Macaca mulatta: one gene and its partners. The protein of the gene in region 2 binds, or shares a complex with, the protein of the main gene of each other region. Links are inferred from orthologs where the notes say so. Each region holds a gene or a part of one and is shown on either strand. Other genes may lie near its edges. The genes, in order: ING3, KAT5, BRD8, MBTD1, ANP32E, RUVBL1 and MORF4L2.

The links.
Region 1: KAT5 (region 2) and ING3 share a complex: the UniProt entries of both Homo sapiens proteins name them as parts of the SWR1-like complex. The link is inferred for Macaca mulatta from reciprocal best matches to the Homo sapiens genes KAT5 and ING3.
Region 3: KAT5 (region 2) and BRD8 share a complex: the UniProt entries of both Homo sapiens proteins name them as parts of the SWR1-like complex. The link is inferred for Macaca mulatta from reciprocal best matches to the Homo sapiens genes KAT5 and BRD8.
Region 4: KAT5 (region 2) and MBTD1 share a complex: the UniProt entries of both Homo sapiens proteins name them as parts of the nuA4 histone acetyltransferase complex. The link is inferred for Macaca mulatta from reciprocal best matches to the Homo sapiens genes KAT5 and MBTD1.
Region 5: KAT5 (region 2) and ANP32E share a complex: the UniProt entries of both Homo sapiens proteins name them as parts of the SWR1-like complex. The link is inferred for Macaca mulatta from reciprocal best matches to the Homo sapiens genes KAT5 and ANP32E.
Region 6: KAT5 (region 2) and RUVBL1 share a complex: the UniProt entries of both Homo sapiens proteins name them as parts of the SWR1-like complex. The link is inferred for Macaca mulatta from reciprocal best matches to the Homo sapiens genes KAT5 and RUVBL1.
Region 7: KAT5 (region 2) and MORF4L2 share a complex: the UniProt entries of both Homo sapiens proteins name them as parts of the nuA4 histone acetyltransferase complex. The link is inferred for Macaca mulatta from reciprocal best matches to the Homo sapiens genes KAT5 and MORF4L2.

What each region holds. Positions count from the first base shown.
Region 1 is NC_133408.1:160,738,879-160,742,378, reverse strand, and holds part of ING3 (inhibitor of growth protein 3), read right to left. Parts: intron 2,877-3,500; coding exon 2,780-2,876; intron 997-2,779; coding exon 925-996; intron 1-924. UniProt on the Homo sapiens protein: Component of the NuA4 histone acetyltransferase (HAT) complex which is involved in transcriptional activation of select genes principally by acetylation of nucleosomal histones H4 and H2A.
Region 2 is NC_133419.1:8,680,893-8,685,077, forward strand, and holds the start of KAT5 (histone acetyltransferase KAT5), read right to left. Parts: upstream 2,801-4,185; 5' UTR 2,567-2,800; coding exon 2,389-2,566; intron 2,059-2,388; coding exon 1,990-2,058; intron 1,903-1,989; coding exon 1,766-1,902; intron 1,504-1,765; coding exon 1,321-1,503; intron 1,232-1,320; coding exon 1,157-1,231; intron 1,051-1,156; coding exon 976-1,050; intron 330-975; coding exon 81-329; intron 4-80; coding exon 1-3. UniProt on the Homo sapiens protein: Catalytic subunit of the NuA4 histone acetyltransferase complex, a multiprotein complex involved in transcriptional activation of select genes principally by acetylation of nucleosomal histones H2A and H4.
Region 3 is NC_133411.1:146,994,368-146,997,801, forward strand, and holds the end of BRD8 (bromodomain-containing protein 8), read right to left. Parts: intron 1,623-3,434; coding exon 1,445-1,622; intron 898-1,444; coding exon 805-897; 3' UTR 501-804; downstream 1-500. UniProt on the Homo sapiens protein: May act as a coactivator during transcriptional activation by hormone-activated nuclear receptors (NR). Isoform 2 stimulates transcriptional activation by AR/DHTR, ESR1/NR3A1, RXRA/NR2B1 and THRB/ERBA2.
Region 4 is NC_133421.1:58,823,564-58,826,295, reverse strand, and holds part of MBTD1 (MBT domain-containing protein 1), read right to left. Parts: intron 2,693-2,732; exon of another isoform or gene 1,969-2,692; intron 999-1,968; coding exon 880-998; 3' UTR 1-879. UniProt on the Homo sapiens protein: Chromatin reader component of the NuA4 histone acetyltransferase complex, a multiprotein complex involved in transcriptional activation of select genes principally by acetylation of nucleosomal histones H4 and H2A.
Region 5 is NC_133406.1:116,901,896-116,906,095, reverse strand, and holds the start of ANP32E (acidic leucine-rich nuclear phosphoprotein 32 family member E), read right to left. Parts: upstream 2,801-4,200; 5' UTR 2,465-2,800; coding exon 2,411-2,464; intron 2,077-2,410; exon of another isoform or gene 1,734-2,076; intron 1,517-1,733; exon of another isoform or gene 1,236-1,516; intron 1-1,235. UniProt on the Homo sapiens protein: Histone chaperone that specifically mediates the genome-wide removal of histone H2A.Z/H2AZ1 from the nucleosome: removes H2A.Z/H2AZ1 from its normal sites of deposition, especially from enhancer and insulator regions.
Region 6 is NC_133407.1:155,874,757-155,878,256, reverse strand, and holds part of RUVBL1 (ruvB-like 1), read right to left. Parts: intron 2,020-3,500; coding exon 1,956-2,019; intron 569-1,955; coding exon 370-568; intron 1-369. UniProt on the Homo sapiens protein: Possesses single-stranded DNA-stimulated ATPase and ATP-dependent DNA helicase (3' to 5') activity; hexamerization is thought to be critical for ATP hydrolysis and adjacent subunits in the ring-like structure contribute to the ATPase activity.
Region 7 is NC_133426.1:110,318,700-110,322,941, forward strand, and holds the start of MORF4L2 (mortality factor 4-like protein 2), read right to left. Parts: upstream 2,801-4,242; 5' UTR 2,736-2,800; intron 1,472-2,735; exon of another isoform or gene 1,395-1,471; intron 35-1,394; 5' UTR 1-34. UniProt on the Homo sapiens protein: Component of the NuA4 histone acetyltransferase complex which is involved in transcriptional activation of select genes principally by acetylation of nucleosomal histone H4 and H2A.

The DNA of each region.
Region 1 (3,500 bases), on a different chromosome or scaffold from region 2:
TCCCACCAAATTGATGTGTCAAAAGAAGCACTGATACAGTCATTTTTTGACTGTATCAACTAGCCAGCAGTCATCTGACTAACAATTCATCCACTCACTGACTTACCAACCATTCAGACTTAATTATATGCCAAACATTAGGTTAAGCACTGGAGAAGCAAGGATAAAAAAGACAAAGGGCCTATTACAAAATAGTTTATTGTTTGGCTCAGTTGAATAAGGAGAATCAGGTATGTGTATGAAGGGAATATATGTTATTACAATATACGCTTAGCTCCCTAAGGAGAATCAGGTATGTGTATGAAGGGAATATATGTTATTAGAATATACGCTTAGCTCCCTAAGGAGAATCAGGTATGAGTATGAAGGGAATACATGTTATTAGAATATATGCTTAGCTCCCTAAGGAGAATCAGGTATGTGTATGAAGGGAATATATGTTATTAGAATATATGCTTAGCTCCCTAAGGAGAATTAGATATGTGTATGAAGGGAATATATGCTATTAGAATATATGCTTAGCTCCCTAAGGAGAATCAGGTATGAGTATGAAGGGAATACATATTATTAAAATATATGCTTAGCTCCCTAAGAAGAATCAGGTATGCGTATGAAGGGAATATATGTTATTAGAATATATGCTTAGCTCCCTAAGGAGAATCAGGTATGTATATGAAGGGAATATATGCTATTAGTACTATACATTCTCCCTCTACACATTTAAGAGAAAACAGAATACTCATTTCCGAATCACCTATGCTCTCCTCAAGGAAAAAGATAAGTCTGCCAGTACTTGCAATAAAAAAAAAAAAAGAAGGGATTTACTTCTCAATTGGTTGTATAGAGTTAAAAAAAGAGAACATACAGATGATATAATAAGGTTTTCATTGTTTTTAAAACTTAGCTGCACTACACCAAACTTACTTTCCACTGGAGTATGTGAATGAGCATGGTGATTGTTCACCGGCTGTGAAGGAGTGTCTAATTCCAAAGATCCTAAAAGAAGAGAGGCACAGAGATACACCACCATTAAATGTCACCGCAGAACTTCACATATCACTCAACTACAGGCAATGAGTTCCCTTACCCAGCAGAGGACTAGCAAGTTCTGATGCATATGCCTGTATTATTTTAGCCAGACATGTTAGAGGATCACCACTGTCCATCCCACACTGAGTATATCCTCTCTCTAAACAATAAGTTATCCCTTTCCCAATATTTACCTTAAGTACAATATGGCTCAAGGAATACTCGTGTCTAATTAGGGAATTCACCACAGTGGGTGGCATATAAATGAATGAATGGACATTGTAATCTCATTACTGGTAAGAGTCAATCTAGTTTTACTGACTTGAAGATGTTTTAATGGGAGATTCTAAAGTTCTATGTGATGGGGGACATTACTATATGAAAAAAATTATTTGATCATTAAAATGACATTATGGTAATAAAGACTTCCTAAAAGAAGTTAGGGATTTGTTTGCAAAAAGTGAGGAATAGAATTTGTAACACCAAGCTTTAAAACACCTCTAAATAAATTTTTCTGGGTTTATTTTTGATCCCTTGAGATGAAATTATGGCAGGGCACAGGGTGGAGCAGTTTTTATAACTTGATCCAATTTTGTTTCATATGTCTGTGTCCTTAGAGAGGATGCTTTAGTAACCTTCCTGCAGTACTGAATAGGCATGAATTATCATTACTCACAGCTATCATCAGCATTTTTTAAAAATCAAAGCAGCTACAGAATTTTTAATTTTGTCTCAAAATACTTATTATCTTTATATAGGGTTCCTCCAGAAGAAAAGTATCACAAATAAATAGATGATTATCTAAAGTGATGCATCTACTTTTGAACACAAAAATGCAACTATAGACACCAAGACAGATCTGTGATTGGCTTCCCTAGCTGACTTCTAGTGACTATATAGAGAGATACATAGATTGGCACTGTAAAGAAACCTTTCATCTGTGTGTAGAAACAGGTATATATTCTTGCTGTTGAAATGCATCAAGAAAAAATATGTTTGAAAGTTTTAATTAAATTCTAGTAGAAATTAGCCATAATACTAACTTGGTTCAATTAACATCCAGTGAGTGCCTACTCTATACCAAGTACCACACTAACTGCTTTTATGTATATTACCTATTTAGGTTGGAGGAAATGCTAAATTAGTCAAGGAAACAGTGCTCACGCTTCCATTTTTGGGAAGACACACCAAAGAAGTGACAGGGGTAAGTTATAGCAGGAGATCAAATAGAGCCTTGCAAAGAAATATTAAAATGGTTTCTTGCTGATAAGGGAAAGAGGGAAACACTTCTTTAAGAAAAAGAGGTAGTGTTATGAAACCAATGGAATCTTTTTCAGTATATGCAGTTAAGGAAAAGCCATAAAACAATTCTTAAGAAACTAACAACCTTCCTCAAAGCTTAAGTGTATAAAGAGGCAGAGTAAAGTCAACATACTTAATGCAAGATGGTTAATTTGTGTCCCGATGGTTACGTTTCTTTAAATTTGTTCTTACCACTCAACTTACTAATATATGTGAATATAAAATTATTTAATATGTTATTTCATAAAGAGTGAGTGGATGATATCCTATATTATCTCTCTCAGTATCCATGACCCAAACATTTCCAACTGCTAGGGTCCAAGCTATCTGACCTGGATGCCACCATCCACTGAAGGGCAGGTTTCAAAAGCCTCTGTGAGACAAGGTCTTCTCAGTGATTTGCACATGTACTGTCCAATATTGATGGAAAACTGTAAATTTTACTTACGCCTCTCTAATATTTCTGTAATTCCAGCATTATCAGCTTCCAGCTCCATTTTAAACTTAGCCAGTTCCTGATCCAGCTTTCTCAAGTGTCGATCTACCTGTTTCAAAGAAGATCAAAGATAACCACCAAAATTTGGGACACTGTTAAAGTGTCAGTTTAATGAGGAAACCTAAATCTTTGTTTCTTTTAGTCAATCTGCTTAGTATCCTTGAGCAAGTCAATTAACCTATGCCTCAGAGGTTTTTAATCTATAAAATGAGGGTGCTAGGCTAAATAATCTCCGAAGTCTCCTTTAATAAATTTTAAGTTCTAAGACCCAGACTCTCAACTTGTTAGGAAATGTTCTATACTCCATTTTCAGAAGTAAGGACGTGAAAATTAAAGCAAAACTGATTAGGGATTAGAGAATGGGAGGAGGGGATGGTGGAGGCTGGTCACTTTTCATAATACGCCCTGTGATTACTTAGAGCCTAATCTCCTCCTACTTATAAGGCCATCATCCACACTGTCACTGTCACACGATAAAAGCTATTATTTAGAATGATGAAAGATCCTCAGTCTACAAAGAAGTTCCTATATTCTATACATTTATTTCTCTAAGGCATGAGAGTGAATCATAATGCTTGTAAACACTTATGTGAAGAGGTGAAACAAAAGGGGTTGTTAGTCAGAAAACTCCATTCCTCAAAGGGCCTGGTTAAAATTATTTTATTTAAAATAC
Region 2 (4,185 bases):
GGTCTGGAGAAGAGAGGACAGTCAGGAACAAGGGCAACGTGGAGAGTGCTGGGAAGGCAGCTTCCCTGGACCCCTCATACCAAGTGACGCTGAAGACACTTGAGGCTACGGCCGTACTTGAGGCAGAACTCGCACAGGTAGAGAACAGGCAATGTGGTGAGCTCCTGTGGGTACGGGGAGAAGTACCACGGCTTGAGGCGGTGCCGGCCCAGCTCAATGCACTCGATGTTCTTCATCCGGGTGACGATGTCGTCGTGGCTTCGGTCAGACACCAGGCTGCCAGTCATGCGTGGTGCTGATGGTATTCCATCTGAGCTGTCCTGGGAGTCCTGCCCAGGGCCAGTGGAAAATACCAGGTTAGAAGAGACAGCTCAGCAGGACACCACAGCTCACAGCCCTTTGACAGGTTTCCTGCAAGCCTAACAGCAACCCTATGGGGGAGGTACCATGATCCCCAATTTCTGGATAAAAAACCTGAAACCCTAAGGGATTGATGATGTGGAAAAGATCACTGAATGACCCTTGTTTTTGAGATGGAGTCTCACTCCGTTGCCCAGGCTGGAGTACAGTGGCATGATCTTGGCTCACTGCAACCTCTACCTCTGGGGTTCAAGCAATTCTCCTGCCTCAGCTTTCTGAGTAGCTGGGATTATAGGTGCCTGCCACTACGCCTGGCTAATTGTTGTATTTTTATTAGAGACAAGGTTTCACCATGTTCGTCAGGCTGGTCTCGAACTCCTGACCTCAGGTGATCTGCCCGCCTTGGTTGGCCTCCCAAAGTGCTGGGATTACAGGTATGAGCCATGGCACCCAGCCCCAATGACTCATTTGAACCATGTTCTGCCTGGCTCCTAATCCCACCAACACTAGCCCCGCCTACCACCCCTTCTTTATTTTTAAACTCATCACTAACTCTCCACCCTGCTTGCATCCCTTCCTTTTCACCCAGCTCCTTCTGTTGCTCCCCAGACCCACCTCATCAGTGCCCAAACAATTCGATTTTCGCTTCCGTCCTGGCTGGGCTGCCACTGCCCTACGGGCTGCTCCATTCTGCAGATATAGTAGTAAAAGAAGGGATGGCTGTGAGATGAGCCTGAAAAAGGCCACCAGAGAGTAGAAGAGAGAAAGGGAACAAGAAATGGTTTGGGAAACTCACCTGGGGAAAAACCGAGGCCGGGGCTGTCTCGCTGGGCACTGGAGTTGCTGGTGAAACCACCTCCACCTTCCGTTTCTGCAGAGAGAAACCAACAAAGGTGGGTCAGAAGGTAGAGAAGGTGGGACCTGAGAAGAAAGCAAGGTCCCTGGAATTGCTGAGGGTACCGTTGAGCGGTGGTTGGGCTGCAGGCAGGAGCTGGAGGAGAGCGGCTGGTCAGGCTCGCCACCGGGAATGGCCTCCCGCTCCTTGGGCAGGTTGAAGCGGAGTGTGATCTGGACCGGGATTGGCAAGGTCTTCCCGCTTGCCTGGGCCGAGGCCGGCTGTAGAGATAGGTCCAGGGTCTTCCTCTGGGGCGGGGATGGCAGTGGAATGGGGAAGGGGAACAGGGGTCCCTCAGCTCAAAATTATCAAACCCCACCCTCGCCTTCTGAAGGACACAGGACTAGCTACTGGACTCTGGGAGCTACATGTGCAATTCGGCCCCCATCCTTTGCAAGATGAAGTCAGGGTGAGAGGGAGCCGCCTACTGCCCATCCAGGAGCCCCTAATGCCAACAGATAAGAGAAACACGAGGCAGGAGAGAAGAGGTGAAGTGGGGGACCTACTCACCACCTCTCTCTCTGGAGAGCCGGGACGGGACCCAGGAAGTCCGTTCTTGGTGGGGGTCTTGGCCTCTTTCTTCGGGAACTGGATCTTCTTTAGGTCCAGCCGCTCGTGCGTCACCCATTCATCCAGACGTTTGTTGACTGCAGCAGTGGGGATGGCTCAGGACAGAATGCCAAAGACTGTTCCCCAACCCTACCCTGATGCCCCACCTCAGGCCCAGAACTCACAGTCAATGTAATGGACGTAGAAAAGCTTCCGGCCACTGATGTCCTTCACGCTCAGGATCTCAGCCAGGGCTATGGGAATAGCATAGGCAGGGGCCTTAGACGGGCCGGGCCAGGCTGAGACTCCACCCTTCCACGACCTGAACTCCACCCCAAGGCCGGATCCCTAAGCTCCAGCACTTAGAAGGTCTCTCCTAAGTCTCCTTCAGTCACTACTGCCACCCCTTTCCAGGCCCCGCCCTGTACCTCTCGGAGCAGCTAAGAGCCACGCCCCTTCATGGGAGTATCTGCGCCCCGCCCGCCCCATAATTCCAGAGGCCCCTCCCCATCCCGGGGGTTCAGTTGACTCCCTCCCGCCCCTCGCCCTCAGGTTCCTTAGCCCCGCCCCCCAACGTCACTCACGCCACTCATCTTCGTTGTCCTGGTTCCGCCGCAGCACGGGTAGGCGGCAGCCCTCGATTATCTCCCCCTGGGGAGACAGCGCGGCGCCAGGGTCGGCTACTGGGGGGCCTCGGGCTCTACCCACCTCCCCTGGCTCCCTCCGCCCCGCCCCGGGCACCGGACTCACCACCTCCGCCATCTTCCCTCCCTCCACTGCCACTTCCGGCCCCTGTGGGAGACGTCACTTCCGGGACCGAGCCCGCTGTAGGCCCGGGCCTCACGAAGCCCCTGTAGAGGGGGACCTTTGAGAGTCACCGCGACCCAGTTGCAAGGGGCAAGACTGCCCCTGTGACTCCTGGGAAAACGAAGTGTTACAAGCCTCAGGCCGAGTCCTAGGTGGAAACCCCACAACGTGCACAGCGATTGGAGAACTACTGAGTCTGTCACGTGACGCCCACCGGGTGCGACGCTGTTCACGTGGATGCGGAGCGGGTCACGTGGCAATACCGTTTGGGCTTTGACGGAGGGCAGTCCTCGGGCGTCTCCTTGTGGCGGCGGGAGGTGTTGTCGGGAGTGAACTGCGCGCGAGAGGCTGGAGAAAGGAACTGTGCTTAGAGGGGCTCGAACGCTCCCCCAGGTCTGTGGACTTCATTCCGTAGGCAGGAGGACTCAGGGAAGATTTCTAGCTTTATTTCGTGTATTAGGCTTCTTTTATTTTTGAGACGGAGTCTCGCTCTGTCGCCAGGCTGGAGTGCAGTGGCGCCATCTCGGCTCCCTGCAACCTCCGCCTCCCGGGTTCAAGCGAATATTCCTGTCTCAGCCTCCAGAGTACCCAGCTAATATTTGTATTTTCAATAGAGGCGGAGTTTCACCATGTTGGCCAGGATGGTCTGGATCTCTTGACCTCGTGATCCGCCCGCCTCGGCCTCCCAAAGTGCTGGGATTACAGGCGTGAGCCAGGGCGCCCAGCCATATTAGGCTTTTTTTTTGAAACAAGGTCTGTGTCGCCCAGGCTGGAGTGCAGCGGGGGAGGCATAATCTCCGCTCACTGAAGCCTCCGCCTCCCTGGATCAAGTGATCCACCTCAGGCTCCTGAGTAGCTGGGACTACAGGCGCGCACTACCAAGGCTGGCTAATTTTTAAAAATTTTTGCGTAAACAGGATTTGGAGACTGGGCATGGTGGCTCACACCTGAAATCCCAGCTACCTCCAGCCTAATCATGAGAAAAAGATCAGACAAATACCAATTGAGAAACATTCTACAAAATACCCCATGAATACTCCTCAGAACTGTGAAGATGTCACTGGTGGAGGGTGTCCAGATTCTTGGCATCTTAAAGAATTGGACAAAACGGCTGGGCGCGGTGGCTCACGCCTGTAATCCCAGCACTTTGAGAGGCCGAGGCGGGCGGATCACGAAGTCAGGAGATCGAGATCATCCTGGCCAACACGGTGAAACCCCGTCTCTACAAAAAAAAAAAAAAAAAAAAAAAGATACAAAAAATTAGCCGGGCGTTTTGGCGGGCATCTGTGGTCCCAGCTACTCGGGAGGCTGAGGCAGGAGAATGGCCTGAACCTGGGAGGCGGAGTGTGCAGTGAGCCGAGATCATGTCACTACACTCCAGCCTGGCTGACAGAGCGAGACTCTGTCTCAAAAAAAAAAAAAAAAACAGAAAAAGAAGAACAAAAGAATTGGTCAAAACGCACAAAGCAAGGAAGGAATGAACGATTTATTGAAAATGAAAGTACACTCCAGTGTGGGGGCCGGCTGACCATAGGGGCCAGTTACAGGATTTGTTGGAGTTTAAATACTCTTGG
Region 3 (3,434 bases), on a different chromosome or scaffold from region 2:
GACCTCTCTGTGCATAGGGTCAGGCCTAATTGGAAAGCAGGGCCTCTGGGTCCGCGGGGACTTTCTGGATTGCACCTGCAAATTCTGAATTTGACTCTTAAGTACTCACCTCCGCGGCCGTCCTCGTACGCTACAACTTGTTGCTAGGAGACCTGAGGCCCTAGCGTGAGGACGGTGGCTGCAGAGGGCCAATCCCAGCAAGGAGCCTTGCAGCATCTGGCCAGTTCGTTTTAACCAAAGGGAACCAGCCAGTCATTTTTATTCTCCTTGTGAATCTTAGATCACTAGATGTTTTCTGACATTTTACTCATAACTTATGTCATCCTTCTGCCAGTCTGAAGGATGCTGCAATTATCCCTACTCTATAAATGATAAGAACCCCCCCCCATTCCTTTCCAGGTGGTAAATGTAAGAAGACCCATGTCAGATACCTTCATTTCGCTGGATGATGCTGTCCCCTCTATGCTCAGCTTATCTAGTCATTAAAAAGCAATATTCCGTTTGTGTAAAGACATTTATTTATAGAGTAAAAGGCTTAGTAAAATATCTAATCGAATTGTCTTTAAATCAAGCCTATGGAACAAAGATGTGGGCAACATTTATGGCATAAACCCAAACCTCAGCTTCCCCTTTTTTTCTTTATATTATGTCCACATGCATCTTTGACTCGTTGGTTGTGAGTTAAGGCATTATTCTTATTTGAAAAGAAAGTAGGGACATGGCAAAGAAGTCCCAGGATCCTCTGTAGGTCAGAGTTCGGGGAGAGGTTGAAACTCTAGAAAAAGTCAGGATAGCAGCTGCAGGTTAGAAAACAGGTTTTCCATCATCCACTGGATTGGCTGGTTCCCCTTCCAGACTACTTGAGCCTTTTCTTTTGTCTAACCAAATATTCAGTACCTAAAGGGTTAAGGAACACATAGCAAGCTATTATGAACCCTAAACGCTGAAGTATTGCAAGTTTTTTTTTTTTGGCAAATAGACTCAACTATACTTTTTTCTTTAAAGTATGATGCTACCCAGAAAAGAAACCCACAAATGTCTTCTAGCTACTATATCTTATCCCCTAAAGATGGGAAAGTGTGAACATACATTAATATCAACAGATGAAGCAACCAAAAAATACACAGTGACTCCGGCCTCTTTGAAGTTTAGCCCTTGACTTGAGGCTCTGGAAGCGGAAATTCCCATTACTTGTCTATCCTCAGCTCTCTTGAGAGCTCTTCACTGCTGCCTGCATTCCTAGACGACTTCACTATCAAAGCTGGACTTACTGTGAGGCTCAGGGTTTTCCAAACCAGCTGGCACATTATCAATCCTTCAGGGCCTTAATCACCTTTAAAAGTAAACTCTGAGAACACAAAGTCACCTCAAAATCACCTTTATTCTCATAGAATCTTGATCTGAAATCAAGATTCCAGAGGCTACAGATCTCCACATACACTACCTGAATCTGCTCCAGGACTTCTTGCCGCATTTCCACAGCCATATGGTATACGTGATGATCAGAGTCATTGTACATTACAGCATTTTGGAACATCAGCATCAGGTCTCGCTGGAATTGGGCCATGGTGCGAATCCGACCTTTAGAGAGATTTCTCTTCAGGCTAGTTAAGTCCATGGGTCTGCAGGTGACCAAGAAAAAATAAAGAAAATCAAACCTCTGTGTGGAACATGATAACCTAACATGTTCTCTTGAAGAACTAACCAGTTCTTAATGAAAACAGTAACAAAGATAACAACCCTCATCAGATAATAAAATAGCAACAGCAGTTAATATTTGCCTGTTTACAATAGGCCAAACACTGTATTTCTATACTAACTCAATCCTCTCAATAAACCTGTAAGGTAGGTATCATTAATATCTCCTTTTTTTTTTTTTTTTTAAGTCAGAGTTGCACTCTTGTTGCACTTTTTTTTAAAGTCGGAGTTTCACTCTGGTTGCTCCATTGCAATGGAGCAATCTCAGCTCACTGCAACCTCTGCCTCCCAGGTTCAAGCGATTCCCCTGCCTCAGCCTCCAGAATAACTGGGATTACAGGTGTGCGCCACCATGCCCAGCTAATTCTTGGTTTTTTTGTTGTTGTTGTTGCTTTTTTTTGAGACGGAGTCTCGCTCTCTCTCCCAGGCTGGAGTGCAGTGGCACGATCTCAGCTCACTGTAAGCTCTGCCTCCCGGGTTCATGCCATTCTCCTGCCTCAGCCTCCAAAGTAGCTGGGACTACAGGCGCCCACCACCACGCCCGGCTAATTTTTTGTATTTTTAGTAGAGATGGGATTTCACCATGGTCTCAATCTCCTGACCTCATGATCCGCCCACCTAGACCTCCCAAAGTGCTGGGATTACAAGTGTGAGCCACCACGCCCGGCCATAATATTTGTATTTTTAGTAGAGACAGGGTTTCACCATGTTGGTCAGGCTAGTCTCGAACTCCTGACCTCAGGTGATCCACCTTCCTTGGCCTCCCAAAGTGCTGGGATTACCCCAAAGCATGAACCACCGCCCCTGGCCTTATTATCTCCATTTGACAGATGAAGAAATTGAAATCTAAAGAGGTTAAGTACTCACTGAAAGGCACACAGCCTAAATTCCAATTCAGAGGCAGCCCGACTCCAGAGCCCACAGGTCAAGCCACTATACGATCAGAGGAGCAGTGCTGGCCCCAGGTACCAAAGTTGTAGACAGCACCAATGATAAGTTTATCACACAGTAGTTATTTGCTGTTTACAATGTACAGTCATATATTATTTAATCTACTTCTCTTACTGCACAAATAAAAAGCTAAGAATAATTTTTTCTCCTTTCATGGAGATGAAAAAAGGATCAAGTGAATATTAAAACAATATTAATGAAACACAGAAAGTAGATATATAAGAGAAGGCACAGCAGTGTAGAAAGAAGACTGAACTGCAGGTAAGAATCTGGGGCTTAGTTCTAGCTCTGCTATTAACTGTTGGTTGATCACGAGCAAGTCATGACCAAGCACCTCTGAGCTTTAGTTTCCTCATACCTAAAGAAGTTTATCTCTGCTGTTTGAATGATGGTATCATTCTGTCTCTGCTGTTTGAATGATGGTATCCCCTCTGGAATTCATATTGAAACTTAATCCCAAGTGCAACAGTATTAAGAGGTGGGGCCTCTGGGAGGTAATTAACTCATGAGTACTCTGCCTTCATGAATGGGATTAGCATCCTTATAAAAGGGCTCCATATCGAAGAGAGTGCCCTCTTACCCTTCTGTCCCTTCTGCCATGTGAGGATACAGTGTTCATCCCCTCTGCAGAATACAACAACAAGGCATCACCTTAGAAGCAGAGAGTAACCCACCTCACACACCAAAACTACCAGTGCCTTGATCTTGGACTTCCCAGACTCCAGAACCAAAACAAAGAGGAATAGGTTTCTATTTTTTATAAATTATCCAGCCTGTGGTATTGT
Region 4 (2,732 bases), on a different chromosome or scaffold from region 2:
TACCAAGTTGTTATTTCACAGACAGAGGGAAATGGCAGAGAACTGATCAGAATCCCTTTCGTGGGGTATTTTTTTAGAAAGGAAAATAAACTCAGAACAACATTGCATTTTCCCCAACCCCTCAATGTGTAGACTGAGATCCTGTATATCCTGTCAACCATTCCAGTTTAACACTTTAGTGTTAGGATAATTCTAATCATTTTTTTAATTAAAAGAGAACATATAAAAGTATCCAGAGTTCTTCCAGTTTCGTATAGAACTCCAAATAAATTTTCACAGAATGAAAAATATTTCTGTACAAACATTTAAAATGGGCTGCAATAAAATGCCAACAAGCAGAAATAATGACCCCTTCCATGACCTGTGTGGTGATGACCCCTCCCCTCCATGAGGAGTTCAGTTGCATATTTCTGCAGCAAAGGAAGCTGGAGATGTGACTGGCCTAACTTCTAAAAAATCCCAAAATCTCCCAACAGGTACCAAAAAGGTTCATTTGTAATGACAGTTCATTTGCATTTAACACCTATATCCTTCTTAAATCATTTCCTTCAATCCTGCTACCTAAACTTTAATCTTACCAAAAAAGTTAGAATTTCAGTTCTTGTTAACAATGCACATAAATCCAAAGTTGGAAAATATTACAAAATTCTTTCAAAAGCTTCAAATACAACACAAAAATTGTCCATCTTTATAAATTGAAAATTTCCCACCCCACCCCCCCGACTAAAATAGTTTCCCCACCCACCTGAAAAATGTGGAACTGAAATCTTCTATGTTTAGCAAAATGTCCCAGTAGAATAGCCCCCTGTACAGCTGGATTGATTATAAATCAGTCCTGTGTAAAATCCTTCCCCTCTCGCCCTCAGTTTCTGAGCCACCTCATGGCTCTTGTTTGATGTAGAAGTTGGCAGAGCCATTGCTTTCCTGATCAGACGCTCCTTGGAGGAAATTATAGTCCTCTCCATCCAGCAACTCCTCCTTCAGCTGCAGTGTCGTCACTGAATGGGAGAGAGAAACATATGGGCATTAAGGCTCTCTAGAGTACTCAGATTGCCTATGATCTTCATGTTCCATCAGTTTCACAGTTATTAAGACTTCTTCATTTCTTCAGTAACTTCAAGTTAAGTCCCTAAAGTACGAGCATTCAGTTAATTTTAATTTTCAAGTACATTAGCAGTTAAGAAACATTCTGGAAAGGAACAGTACTGCATAATGCACACTGCACAATGGACATCTTCAATGAAATGTTCAGGGTAATGGTGCTCACTAATCTGACTGGGATGAGAATTTTGTGATCAAGTATTCACTTTTATGTCAATGTTTGTACAAACAATGATGTAGTTCTTTCATGGTTCTTAAGTACAATCTTTTTTTTCTGAGATGGAGTCTTGCTCTGTCATCAGGCTGGAGTGCAGTGGAGCAAACTCGGCTCACTGCAACCTCCGCTTCCCGGTTCAAGCGATTCTCCTGCCTCAACCTCCCAAGTAGCTGGGACTACAGGCACATACCACCACACCTGGCTAATTTTTTGTATTTTAGTAGAGATGTGGTTTACCATATTGGCCAGGATGATCTCGATCTCCTGACCTTGTGATCTACCCGCCTTGGCCTCCCAAAGTCTGGGGATTACAGGCGTGAGCCACTGCGCCCGGCCTCTTAAGTACAATCTTAATTACCAACACAATAAATATGACTTTAATATATTATTAATCCCAAGGAGTTTTTTTTTTGAGACGGAGTCTCACTCTGTAGCCAGGCTGGAGTGCAGTGGTGTGATCTCGGCTCACTGCAACCTCTGCTTCCTGGGTTCAAGCGATTCTCCTGCCTCAGCACCTCGCCCCCTCCTCCTCCCCCCTGCCCCGAGTAGCTGGGACTACAGGCGCCCACCACCACGCCCAGCTAATTTTTGTATTTTTAGTAGAGACAGGGTTTCATCATGTTGGCCAGGATGGTCTCAATCTCTTGACCTCGTGATCCGCCCGCCTCAGCCTCCCAAAGTGCTGGGATTACAGGTGTGAGCCACTGCGCCTGGCCCCAAGGAGTACTTTTATTAAAAACATTATCTGAAGAAAAAGATATAAATCTGATGTTAAATCAAAACATTAAAAAAATTATAAATTATATAAGGATGTAACATACATTTTAAAAAAGTAAATCTGGGCTGGATGTGGTAGCAGCCTGGGCAATGTAGCAAATCCCCAGCTCTACAAAACACAAACAAAAAAAGCTGGGTATGGCTGTGCAAGCCTGTAGTCCCAGCTACTCAGGACTGAGGCAGGAGGATTGCTGGAGCCCAGGAGATCGAGATTACAGTGACCTATGATTGTGTCATTGCACTCTAGCCTGAGTGACAGAGTGAGACCCTGCGTACACCTCTTCTCCTACGAAGAAAAACGAATATTAAACTCCTGAGCCGAGTGTGGTGGCTAATGCTTACAGTCCCAGCTATGTGGGAGGACAAGGCAGGGGGCCAGTTCAATGCTGAGTGCCTGCCTGAGTTCTTATCTGATGACTTATTCTTTAACGAAAACAGATTAACAGTATAGCCATGTTTCTGTAGGTCTTTAGTATGGAAAACAGTTTTTCAGTTTCACATCCCCAAAGTGCTGGGATTACAGGCGTGAGCCACCACGCCTGGCTGTGTTCGGGTTTCTTAAAGTTACTGTCTGGCTGGGCGCAGTGGCTCAAGCCTGTAATCCCAGCACTTTGGGAGGCCGAGACGGGCGGATCGC
Region 5 (4,200 bases), on a different chromosome or scaffold from region 2:
GTTCTCTATACCCGATGTGAAAACCTGTTTGAGGTATCCGAGGGCTAAAATTTGGCAACAAGGAATGCCACCTTCTCTATTTGAATACGACTTTGACATAATTATTTCTGTTGCCAGAGAGAGCATCTTGAGCTCCGTTTTGGAGAAGTGGAAGCTATGGCCCAGAGAACAAGAATGGCTTGCCTAGAGTCACACTTGGTTTGCAGCAGGGCTGTGAATTGGTTCGTCTTCACACTCCCCATTTAGTTGAGGAGTGGGGGCTACTAGATTTGGTGTCAGAAAACCAATTCCTGCACTTGCGTAAATCATTTCACTGTCCTGAGACTCCGTCTGCTAATTTGGATTCTAGAATAACACAATCCACTTTACAAGTGTGTAAGGAGGAAAGTAAATAACAAACGGGAAAAGTGCTTTGTAAACTGTCTACACAAATGTAAGAGACCGTTATTACAACACAGAGGAAGAAGCTGAAAAAAGGCAACGTCCTGCACTCCCAAAACTGGCAAAGAAATTACTACAATCACTAAGTCAAAGAATCCTGGCGGGGGAGGCGGGGGCGGGATTCAATTTTCCAACCCAAGCCACCAAAAAGTATTCTAAACGTGTGCTTGTGAGAGACAGCTTTTCAAGTTTGATTTTGTTTTTTCCCTGAAGCCCCTAAGAATAAGTTCTAGAAACTTCAAGATCTCTCCGGAATGACCCTGATAGCAAGCAACTGTTTCCCCTCCCTGGCCCCTGCCAATTTCAGAAAACAGGCACCTTAAAAAAAAAAAAAAGGCCGGGCGCGGTGGCTCAAGCCTGTAATCCCAGCACTTTGGGAGGCTGAGACGGGCGGATCACGAGGTCAGGAGATCGAGACCATCCTGGCTAACACGGTGAAACCCCGTCTCTACTAAAAAATACAAAAAAAAACTAGCCGGGCGAGGTGGCGGGCGCCTATAGTCCCAGCTACTCGGGAGGCTGAGGCAGGAGAATGGCGTGAACCCGGGAGGCGGAGCTTGCAGTGAGCTGAGATCCGGCCACTGCACTCCAGCCTGGGTGACAGAGCGAGACTCCGTCTCAAAAAAAAAAAAAATTTATTAAAAAAAAAAAAAAAAAGTCTTAGTTGCCACTCCACACGCCGTACGCGAAAGCCTAGACAGACCCTGCTCATCCTCTATGCGGGTCTGCACAGACACCACCCCAGTTATATCCTTCTATCGATCGGTCGATCCAGCTACAGACAACTCCCTTACATTCCAATTCTAGGGCTTCTTTCAGCAAGACAGATGCTTTCCTCTGCGAGGCTCCCCGCTGGCCACCAGCCCTGCTCTCGCGACCTGCCGCTCCGACTGACGGGAAACCCCACACCGGGCGGGGACTCCCCAAGGAAAAAAGGGGTCGCCTCCCAACCCGCGTTGCCCTCGCGCCTTCGCCCTGGGTAGGTGAGGCCGAGGAGGCAACCGCGAAAAGGAGGCGGAAACGCCTCCTGCCCGACCCCCGAAAAGTTGACCGCGACCCCGCCTCATGTGGCCCCTCCCAACGCCGTCTCTTTAACTAAGGCAACAGCAGTGAGAGCGCATCATTTAGTTTCGGCGAACCCATCTTTAAAGCACGAAACTACTACGTCCCTTATGTTGAGTTCTGTGAAACCGTCTCCAGGGATCAAATTCAAGAGTTGCGGCCACACGACGTGCCACATATCTTTACACGGCGGGGGAAGAAGCGGATTACGCCTCCCGTCCCCTCCCCACCTCCGGTCACTGCGACGAGTCCCCAAACTCGCCCGCGGTCAGAGAACCCGCGGCTGACCCAGATTCCGCCGGGCGGAGGGCGGAGGGCGGAGGGCGGAGGGCAGCGCGCGCGGCTTCCCGGAGGAGTGGGCGCCGCCGGAGCAGACAGTGCGCGGACCTTGAAAGCGACCCCAGTCCGCGCCCGTCGCGACGTCGGATGCCCAGGGCCTTGAGGCCGGGGGAGCCCACCCCCCAAAAAGATGAGTTGGCCGCACTGCAGAAAAGTTGGACTAACTTCTCAGGCGCCGATGGCTGCGGCAGGGGCCGAGTGGGACTGGGGGGTCGCGTCCCACGCCGCTGGCCCTCAGGAGGAGGAGCGCCGGGAGCGAAGCGGCAGAGCGCCCCCACCAGCCCGCTTCCCGCCCCCACGAGGCCAGGACGCCCGACTCGATGAAAGCCGAAAGGAGCTAAGCCCCCATGCACACACAAAAACGCCCCTAGAAACTTCAACCCTTCGCCATTTTAAGTAGAAGATTTTAATGATTTAAAACTTAAAATTAAACATTTCCCCAACCCTAAACCGGGGGGGCGGGGGCTAACTTATTACTCCATCCCCGCACACCCACCCAGGACCACCAGAAATCCGATCCTCAGAATACACGACTGATGGGGAAGGGGTGGGGGCTGAGTCATCTCACCTCCTCCGGGGCTCTGTTCCTTAACTCCAGGTTAATCTTCTTCTTCATCTCCATGTCCTCCTCTTGCTCTTCAGCTACTACTCTCCTTCTTTTCCCTTTCCTGCCTTTCCCAATACCCCCAACCCAAAATTTTTAAGAGATTTAGAAATGAATGAAAAGGAACGCAAATATAAACGCCCACTACCACCAGATAGGTGTGGGGGAGAAAGAAGAGAATAGCAAATGGAGTCCAAGAGTTGGGACTCTAACTCAGCTGCCCCCACCTCCTTGTCCACACACTAGCGCGCGCACTCACACGCACGCACGCGCGCACACACATACACACACACATACACACGCACACACACACACACCCGCAGTTCCTTCCCCTTCAATGGCTGCTCAGAGACTGAGCCTCCATGACACGGCACCGCCAACCCCCTGGCCTACACTCCACCCACCTCCCAAACGTATTGGTTGATTCTTTAGCGTCACATTATTCCATTGGGCTAGGTAAATGTCTATCAGTCTTCAGGGAGGACCTGGACCAGAAACTCCGTATCTATTGGCTACGATCAAGGGCGCAGTTAATTTTGATAGGTCCAGGAGGGTGTACGTCCGGGAGTAATGATTTTGAATCCCAGTTCCCCCCCTACTTTTCTTTATGTAGTTGGCGCGCTTTCCCTGGGCACTCGGACGGTTTTGTTGTCTGTTGGATTTGTTTTTTAGTTTTTGGTTTTTTATTCTGTTGTTAGTGTTAAAAAGGGAGAAAGCATCCTTCCGTGCCCAACTTGCGATACTGATAATTCACCACACGGCATGCACTGGCTCTTGGCCGTTTTAAAAACACAGCCTCTGCTTTGCAGCCAAGGTGTACAGCAACGTGCGCATCACATTAAAAAGATGCCTTGGTGGCATTGTCCTGCTGGGGTCAGGCTTTTCACAGAGGCTGACCTTCCGTGATGCAGAGCCAGAGCCAAGATTTTAAAGATGGTAGTTTAACACTATAAAAGACAACAATTTTGAAAGCAGTTGGGTGAAGTATGTAAGTTAATAATATTTAAATAAAACTATCCTGGAGGAATTGTTACTGAGTTAATTTTTGCTGTAATAAACACTAAGACCTTGGAGGAAAAACAACGCTGGCCTAATGAAAATCAGACATTAATTAGCATAGAAATGGCACAGCAATGCCTCTCTAATTTCCCTTTGGTTGGTTTCCATGGAAATCTGTAGGTAAAGTGTGCTTTTAAAAGTGTTTATCGCTTCTTCTCTGCCTTTTGGCTAAGATCAAGTGTAGGATCTGTTCTTAACAGTTTAATATCTGATATATTTTCTATCCGAGTCCAATATATTAAATGGATTTGGGGAGCAGGAAGACGCAATAGGAGCTTTCTTGTTCACTTAACGCATCCACCTGGTATTACAGTACCTCCAGGAACAGTGCACCCCCTCAGGGGATTAAAATTTAGTGTTCAGGACAGAAGAAGGAAAAAAAAAAAAAAAAAAAACCAGTTTGTCTATGTGGGATGGGATATGAAAGAGTGGGATAATAATTATCTTTTAGCCGGGTGTGGTGGCTCACACCTGTAATCCCAGCACTTTGGAAGGCCAAGGCGGTGGGATCACCTGAGGTCAGGAGTTCGAGACCAGCCTGACTAATATGGTGAAACCTCGTCTCTACAAAAAGTACAAAATACTAGCCGGGTGTGGTGGCGGGCGCCTGTAATCCCAGCTACTCCAGAGGCTGAGATAGGAGAATTGCTTTAACCTGGGAGGCGGAGTTTGCAGTGAACCGAAATCGTGCTATT
Region 6 (3,500 bases), on a different chromosome or scaffold from region 2:
GAAAAATGATGTCAATAATGCCTACCTCTCAGAGTGCAGGTGAAGCCTGAAGACGTTCATGTGTATAATGTCACCAAAGGCTAGCCCTGTCTGATCTCACCTTTGTGCACGCCAATTGAATGACCAGATTGTAGTATCACACCCCAGAGATCACATGGGAGACCCTCATCATGAGTGAAAGGGCAGCTGCTGCCTTTGGTGACTAGGGAAATGAGACCAGAGGCAAGCCACTTGGCACGTTTTCCTTCAAAAACAACGTGACCTCCCCTCATCCCCATTCCACCTCGTGGGGTTTAGCGAGATCCTGAGGAACAAACGAGCCCAGCTGGAAGGTAAAAAAGCCTTGTGGCTGGCAGGCAGCCATCCTACCTGATGACACAGTTGCCTCGGTTGGATGCAAAGATGACGATGGGGGCGATAGAAGACTCCAGAGCGCGGTGCAGGTAGGTGAAGCACTCAATGTCCAGCATGTGGACCTCATCAACAAACAGCACACCCGGGACCAGCTCAGCAATGCCCTGGTCGATGTACTTGTTCACCACCTTATTAATCTCCCCTCGAAGTTTGTCTAGGAGATGCAAGGATCGGCAGGCAAGGTCAGCACAGGGCTGGGAGAGACTATCGCCTTTTCTCCTCCACCTGAATTCAATCCAAACCCATGCTGGGAGCCTAGTTTTCCTACTAGCTATGTGATCCCTGACAGGGTGTGTCCCCCCACTCCAGGCTTCAGTGTCATCATCTGAACACAGTGATAATCACACCTAAAGGTCACAAAATTGGTAGCCTCCCCCAAAAGATGTGTTTGGTTAAATGTAAAAAGGTAGCACGGGTGTTCTGCATGGGAATCCCTTCACAGCACATGCTCACTGCTGTCACACTCCCTACCATGCCTTATCACCTCCCACACACCCAGTGTAGCTCTGTCTGATCTGGGAGACACTGGAGTTTAGGAGCCCTGAGTGAAATGAGTTTTCACATGCAAATTTTCCTATTCTATACTCAGTAAATGACCCTTTCTTTTGGTCCCATACAACAATGCTTAGGTTAATTAACTTTCAATCAAGTGCCTGGAATAAGGAAGTGGGTGCTTTTAGAATCCCGAGCAGAAACCTTCGAGGAATGAAAGGCTCTGAAGAAAGGCCCAATCTCAGAGCTCCTAGAGGGATGAGTCTCTCAAAAGTTACATAACCCAGCTAAGGTCTCAGTGCTCATTTTCCAAACCAGCTCCTGTGTTATTGTCAGGAGGGAGCAGCTCACAAACAGAAAACTGGAAGATCTGAGGCAGCGTCTTCCACCAAAGGCACAAGGCCGGGATTGTCCGAAGAGGATGCACACTGAAAATCATGTGAAAAGAAAGAAACTGCTCCTGACAACTCAAACAGAAAGGTCTCAGATTGCTGCCCTGGCTAAAACTTTAAAGATAATATTTGCTTTAATGTTTAACTAACATCTTAAAGTGACGAAATTGTAGGTAGAATTAGAAAAAAACAGCAACAGGAAAGCTGGGAAGAGCCGCAGGGTAAAATAAAGGTTCACAGGAGAGCAGCAGCAGTGTCCCCTGTGGAGCTCTAGGAAGAGCCCACGAACTGGGCAGGGCAGTGCGTGGAGCTGGTCTGTGAAGCTGCCCTGTGCTCTACTAGGGAGGGGCTGACAGCACCAAGGCTCCAGAGTCTGTGCTCGGGCAGAGCTGGGCGAAATAAATCCACATTTCTGGGGCCTCATAGGGACCAGAAACTGTGACTGCAGTGGGGCAGAGACCACACAGTGTGCTTGCTGTATGGCTGCCTAAATAATGCCAGAGACTAAGGCTAGAGTCAAGCTCTGAACTATGAGGAAGAAGGAACTGTTCTGAGGCATTTTCTCAGGGTGGATGTGCTCACAGAGCCGCAAGGGCATCTCAGAATGTAGGGCCCTCCACCCTGCCCCTTGCTCGCAGGCCACGCTGGTTCTCCTACCTGTGATTTCTGTCTTCTTTGGCTTCATTAGCTGGCCCATCATGGACAGGATATCTTGTCCCCCCTGCATAAGAGAAGACTTAGAGTCAGTGCTGCTTTGTAAGGTGACTACAGAAGCCTCATCCCCCTGCATCCCACTCATCAACTCAACATGGGATCCTGAGGTAAGGAGACCCCTCCTCAAAGCCTGAGGAGCTTCTAAACACAGAGGAATTTTTAGAGGTTCCCTTGACCTGTAAGAATCAAACAAAATCCTTTCATGGTAAGTATAAGCTCCGTGGGGCCTGCCCAGCCTCCTTCTCCAGCCCTATCTTTTTCCAATCCCTTGTTCCTTGATTAGCCACATGAGACTACCAGCCCTGCCCTGGACACCCGCAAGCTCTTTTATGACTCGATGCTTTTGAGTCTATTCCATCTGCCAGGAATGCCATTCTCCTTCCTAGGAAGTTCCCAGTCATTAAAGTTCAAGTCAAATGCCCTCTAGGGGGCATTTGACCCTAACCAGACTCATGACTTCCTCCCAATGTTTCTGTGCCTTTGGGGACACACGGACTACAAGAGTAAGTATAAAGAGTAAGTATAAATATACCATGATTATACTGCTGTGCCTCCTCTCACTAGATTTGACCACAGGCTTGCATCAGCCTAGTCCTTACTTAACCTAGAGCTACTCAGTCTATGGGCCCCTCCCTGTGGAATGGCTGACTCCATAACAGGTTCACCACTCACCTGCATCCTCCTATGGGCTCCTAAGAGTGCAGTCAGCAAGAGGAAGAGGCTGGTGTTTGGTCATTTGTTCAGCATTTAGTGATCACCTGTTAGTTACCAGGCCCTGAGACACAGAGGTGCTCACTAAATGCTGAATAGCTAAAGGCAGCAAATGTTTCCTGTCTGGTCCTCAAAACTGCCTTGCCAGGTAGGAGAAAACTCAAAATCAGAACCCTAAACCACAGAAAACCCAGAGACCCAAAGTGACAAATTAACCAAGCTGGTCAGTGATGGAGCAACACAGTTCCTGACTTCTGACTCCCAGCCCAACACTCTTCTCAGGTCAAGGGCTCCCAGGAGTTCAGTTTGCGGATGGCCACTTCACCAACCGAGGGGACCTGTTGCTCCAAAATAAGTCTTCAGTAATCTCTTGACCAAAGCTCCAAGGAACAAAACACCCACGGATCAAATTTCAAGTCAGAAAACAAACTATTCCCTAATAGTGAAGAGGTCTTTTTTAGGATGAAGAGGAAACCAAACTGCAAGACCATCACAAGAAACAGTGGTGTCTTGTTTCTTTTAATCACATATTTCCTACAAATGCTGTAAAGTGATAACATCCTTTCCTACATTTTACTAGTCAAGGCATAAGTATCCATCTGCATGAGAAGCAGACAACAGTACCAGCTCAAAGCTAAAACACTGTGGCTTTTGCTAAGCAGGGGGAAAGAAAGAGCTTTGTCAGGCTTTCTGAAATCCTGTAACGGGCTCACAGAACACTCCTGCCCTCCTGCCATTAACACCCAGAGAATCCCAGGCGTGAGCCCACTGCTGGAG
Region 7 (4,242 bases), on a different chromosome or scaffold from region 2:
ACTATACAGCAAACTTAGCTTTTCTGATGGTGACCTAGAAGGTCAAACAAAAGGACAGGAAAGGACATAAAATAAAAAGATATGAGATATGGCTTTCTTCTACATCAGCCAATGCAATTTCATCACACACAAAGGACACCAAAGCTGATAAATAATGTACAAGTATTTCTTTTTCCTTTCTTGTGGCTACATTTTCAAATTTAACTTATTGTATATTTATATAATTTCTGACAATTTTTTTAACTTTTCCTTAAAGATAATTTCAAATGGATGAAATAAAAGAATAGTATTACAAACCTACACGAATCCATCATCCAGCTTTCAACAATTACCAACTGAAGGCCATCTTGTTTCATCTATAACCCCACCCACTGCTCCCCCCCACCCCCGACTTTTTCAAGCTCACGGGAATATCTGACTTCTGTATTTTATTATACAAAAATTTAAACGTATACCAAGGAAAGCAGATTAATATACGGAACCCACTGCCTATCACTCAGCAAAAACTATTATTAATTTAGGGTCAATTTTGTTTCATCTATACCCCTCCCCATTTCCCCCTACCGCTTAGATTATTTTGAAGCAAATCCTAGTCATTAATGTATTTAGAAGCCAATCCCAGACATTATATTATTTAATCCGTAAATATTTTCGTATATGTCTCTACAAAAAAGGACAATTTGAAAACATAATCACAATACTACTGTGACGCCTAAAAAAATTGACATCAATTCCTTAAAAAACATCAAATATCGAATCCATGTTCCAATTTTCCCGATGCGTCTTAAACATATTTTTACAGTTGGTGTGTTCGATTCAGGATCCAAACAAGGCCTACTCATCGCATGTGGTTCATCTCCAGCTCGCTCTCGTTCTCCATCTCTTTCTTTCTCGCACTCCACCCCCCCACCTTTTATTTAACTTTTCAACATGGGAAAATTACAATCTCTGCAATTTTGAGGCAATTCCCAAAGAGCAAATTATTTCATTGGTAAAAATTGATATATCTCTTTTATCTTTAATTTATTCTAGGAAAGAAGTTGATGGCAGAAAGGGCACTACAATTAGCGAATTTATATAATTTATAATTTTTCTCATTCTATTACGTGTATTATTTATCTCCATAACAATAGCTAATATCTTCAGGGGCCAGGCTTCATATTACGTGCCTTATACGCACCATTATACAGTACACGTCTCTGAGGTAGATACTATTATTATCACCATTTTACAAACATGGAAACCGAGACACAGAAAGAACAGGAGCCTTGCCCAAGCTGGGCGTTGGCGAGCAGGAATCTGAATCCAGCTCTGACCGATTGTGAAGGAACTAGCTAATCCCGTCTATACCCGACGAAAAGAGGAAATCATCGACCCTTTCTCCCCACCCCCACCCCGAAACCTGAAACGAGAATCCAGATCTTCCCAGCAGACGACGTGTGATCACTGCCGTTCCTCCAACCGCCATAGTAAAGCCAGGTTTCTCTGGCAACTGATATCCATAGGCAGACACGTCACCCTGGAGGAGGGCGTATGCCCTTCAGCCAATCACAATCGTCTTGTCTAAGTTTTAGAATGTTCCATAACCAAATGATTGGACAACCACCCCCACGTCAGCAATGACACTTCGCCGCAGTAAAGGCGGGTGCTAGCAACCTGCTTCTTCACTGTTAAGGCCTACAGCAAACCAATCCTCTTCCTCCGTCAGTGCGAGTTCCGGCCAATGACGTTCGCCCTCTTAGGTTTTTAGCCCGCCCTCCAAAAGCGTGACAGCCGTTGGGTCATAAGTCTATAGGGCAGAATGTTCACGTGGCCTATTTCACGACCCAGAGTTCCTCTGACCAGAAGGTTTTTTTTTTTTTCCTTTTCCTTTTTTTTTTTTTTTTAATTTTTTTCCTGCAGGGAGGCATTATGGGTTTGTGTTTCCCCCCAGCCCCCCACTGGGAGAGGAAGTGTCTACGTGGCCTGCGGAAATAGGCGGAAATGAGCTAAGGTTCCCGCGAGTGGGGAAGCGCGAGGTCAAATCTGGAGCCACGCCCCCAGGCCTGTGGCGCAACTCCCCGAACATGGAAAAAAAAGGCGCAGTGGGGGGTTCTGCTGTGTTTGCGAGTTAGGGTCGTGAGTGCAACGGGCGCAAGGCATTAAGGCCAGTGTGTTAGTGCGCGGGCAGGCTCGAGTGCCCCTGGGGTTGCTGTGTGAGCGGCCCTCGTGGCGCTGGAGGTGATGTGTTTGCGCAGGCGTGCGCCCCTGGCGTCTGGACTGGTGAGAGCCACGGCGCGCGCCCGCGTGCGTGATTGGGGTGGGAGTTGCGGGGAGGGGTTAGCTACTGCGCGCAGGTTATCTATTTCTGTATTTTGTTTGAAAATGTTCTAATGAAAATGAAAATAAATAATTAAGGCAAGGCGACAATAACAGAGATAAAGGGGCACTGTCAGAAATATTTTGGCTTTCCCTGATTTAAATACTCCTCTGTGCCAAAATCCGGTCGTAAACCACAGCCCTCCAATGATTCAGAGCCAAAGCCTTCCATCGTCACATTAGCAACTCCAAAGGGAGACTTCTTTCAAGTTGTCTAGTATCCTCCTCCCTCCCCTCTTCCACACCTCCCCCCTCCCTTCAAGGTTGCGTGCAGTTCTCTTGGCACAAATACAATTTTCCTATGAGAATATCTATCTATGACAGCCTTCCCCTCCGTTAGAGACTCCGGATTTTTATGGTGACTAGGGCGCTCTTACCTTTGCGTCCTGATCTCCAAGCAAGCACACTGACCTTCTTCAGGCAAATACGCACTGTTAATTTTCCAGAAAGTTCTGTGGGTAAGGTTTATACCTCTCGAGTTCGCCACTAGATGCCGCCAAATCCCAGCAAAGGATTGGCTGTGTGGTCCCTGGGATTCTGGGATTTTGTTTCCCTCCCCCCTCCCCTTTCTTGATTTGCTGAACGCTAATATCTAAGGCATCATTGATATCGTTCATTCCTAGGAAAAAATAAAATCAGCTTCTGTGAATAGCACTAGTAGTCAGGGAACTGTGACCCAAGATCCAAATAATTTTACTCATTTCTTTCCTTTTCTCCTTGGGTGGGGGGGCGGGGGGGAAGGCCCCTCTCCATCCCTCGCTTCTTTTGTCCTTGCCTTGTTTAATCAAAGAGTTAATGAATGACCCAAGCACTGATGCTGAAGATCCTAACCCTTTTTCCTCACCTTTTCAAATGCTCGCAACTCACCCAAACTGAAAATACAGATAGCTGTTACTTTAGTAAAGAGATAAGAACTCATCAGTAAAACTTGGACCCTGGTATTGAAAACTGATTTTCCTTTTCTCTTGAAATTTGTATCAGATATGTGTGTTTGCACCCTATTTTCTGTAGTGGTATTGATAGACTTTATTGTGTCTTTGGAGTAAGAGAAAGAGACTTAATTGTTAACCTCATTCCACCACTTACTAGTCTCAGTACCCTGGGCAAATGATTTATGTTCTGTGATCCTCAGTTTTTTGTATGCTTTCTATATTTTAGATGCTGTGTTATATCCTTCATGTCGATTTTTTTTTTAATTTATCACCAAGTCCTTATTAGATGAGCAGTACTAGATCAAAGTCAAACAACAAAAATCATACCCCTTTCAATTATCTATCTTATATACTTGTACACAAGAGGGATTTTTTTAGAGCAGTGGTTCACAAGATGTGTTTCCTGGATGTACCAGAAACATCAGCATCACCTGAAAAATTGTCAGAAATTCACATTCTCAGGTCCCACCTCAAACTTAATGAATCAGAAGTTCTCACGGTGGGGTTTGGTAATCTGTGTTATTACAAACTATCCCAGTGATTCCAGCACACACTGAAGTTTGAGAACCACTGCTTTGGAGAGTAGAAATGCAATGCATATTTTTGTATACACCACTAGAGGGTGCTACAGAATGTAAAGCAAAATAATAAATGATGCACAGTATATGTTTTCACACACCATCCATATTATCAGTCCTATTTTACAGATTGAAAACTAATGTGTAGAGATGTCAAATTATTTTCTTAGTGCACACAACAAGTATGGGAACCAGGATTTGAACTTCACCTGCCTCTAGCCCAAGCCCCTAATAGTACTCTGTTGTGTAACCATAATGACTTGTCTTTCCAAGCCTCAAAATACATTAGAAATAACTTGTTCCCTGCTTTGGCTAATGTTGACTGGAGTGTCAAGAAGAGTGCAGGAAAGGAAACCAAGTAAGTGGAAATATTT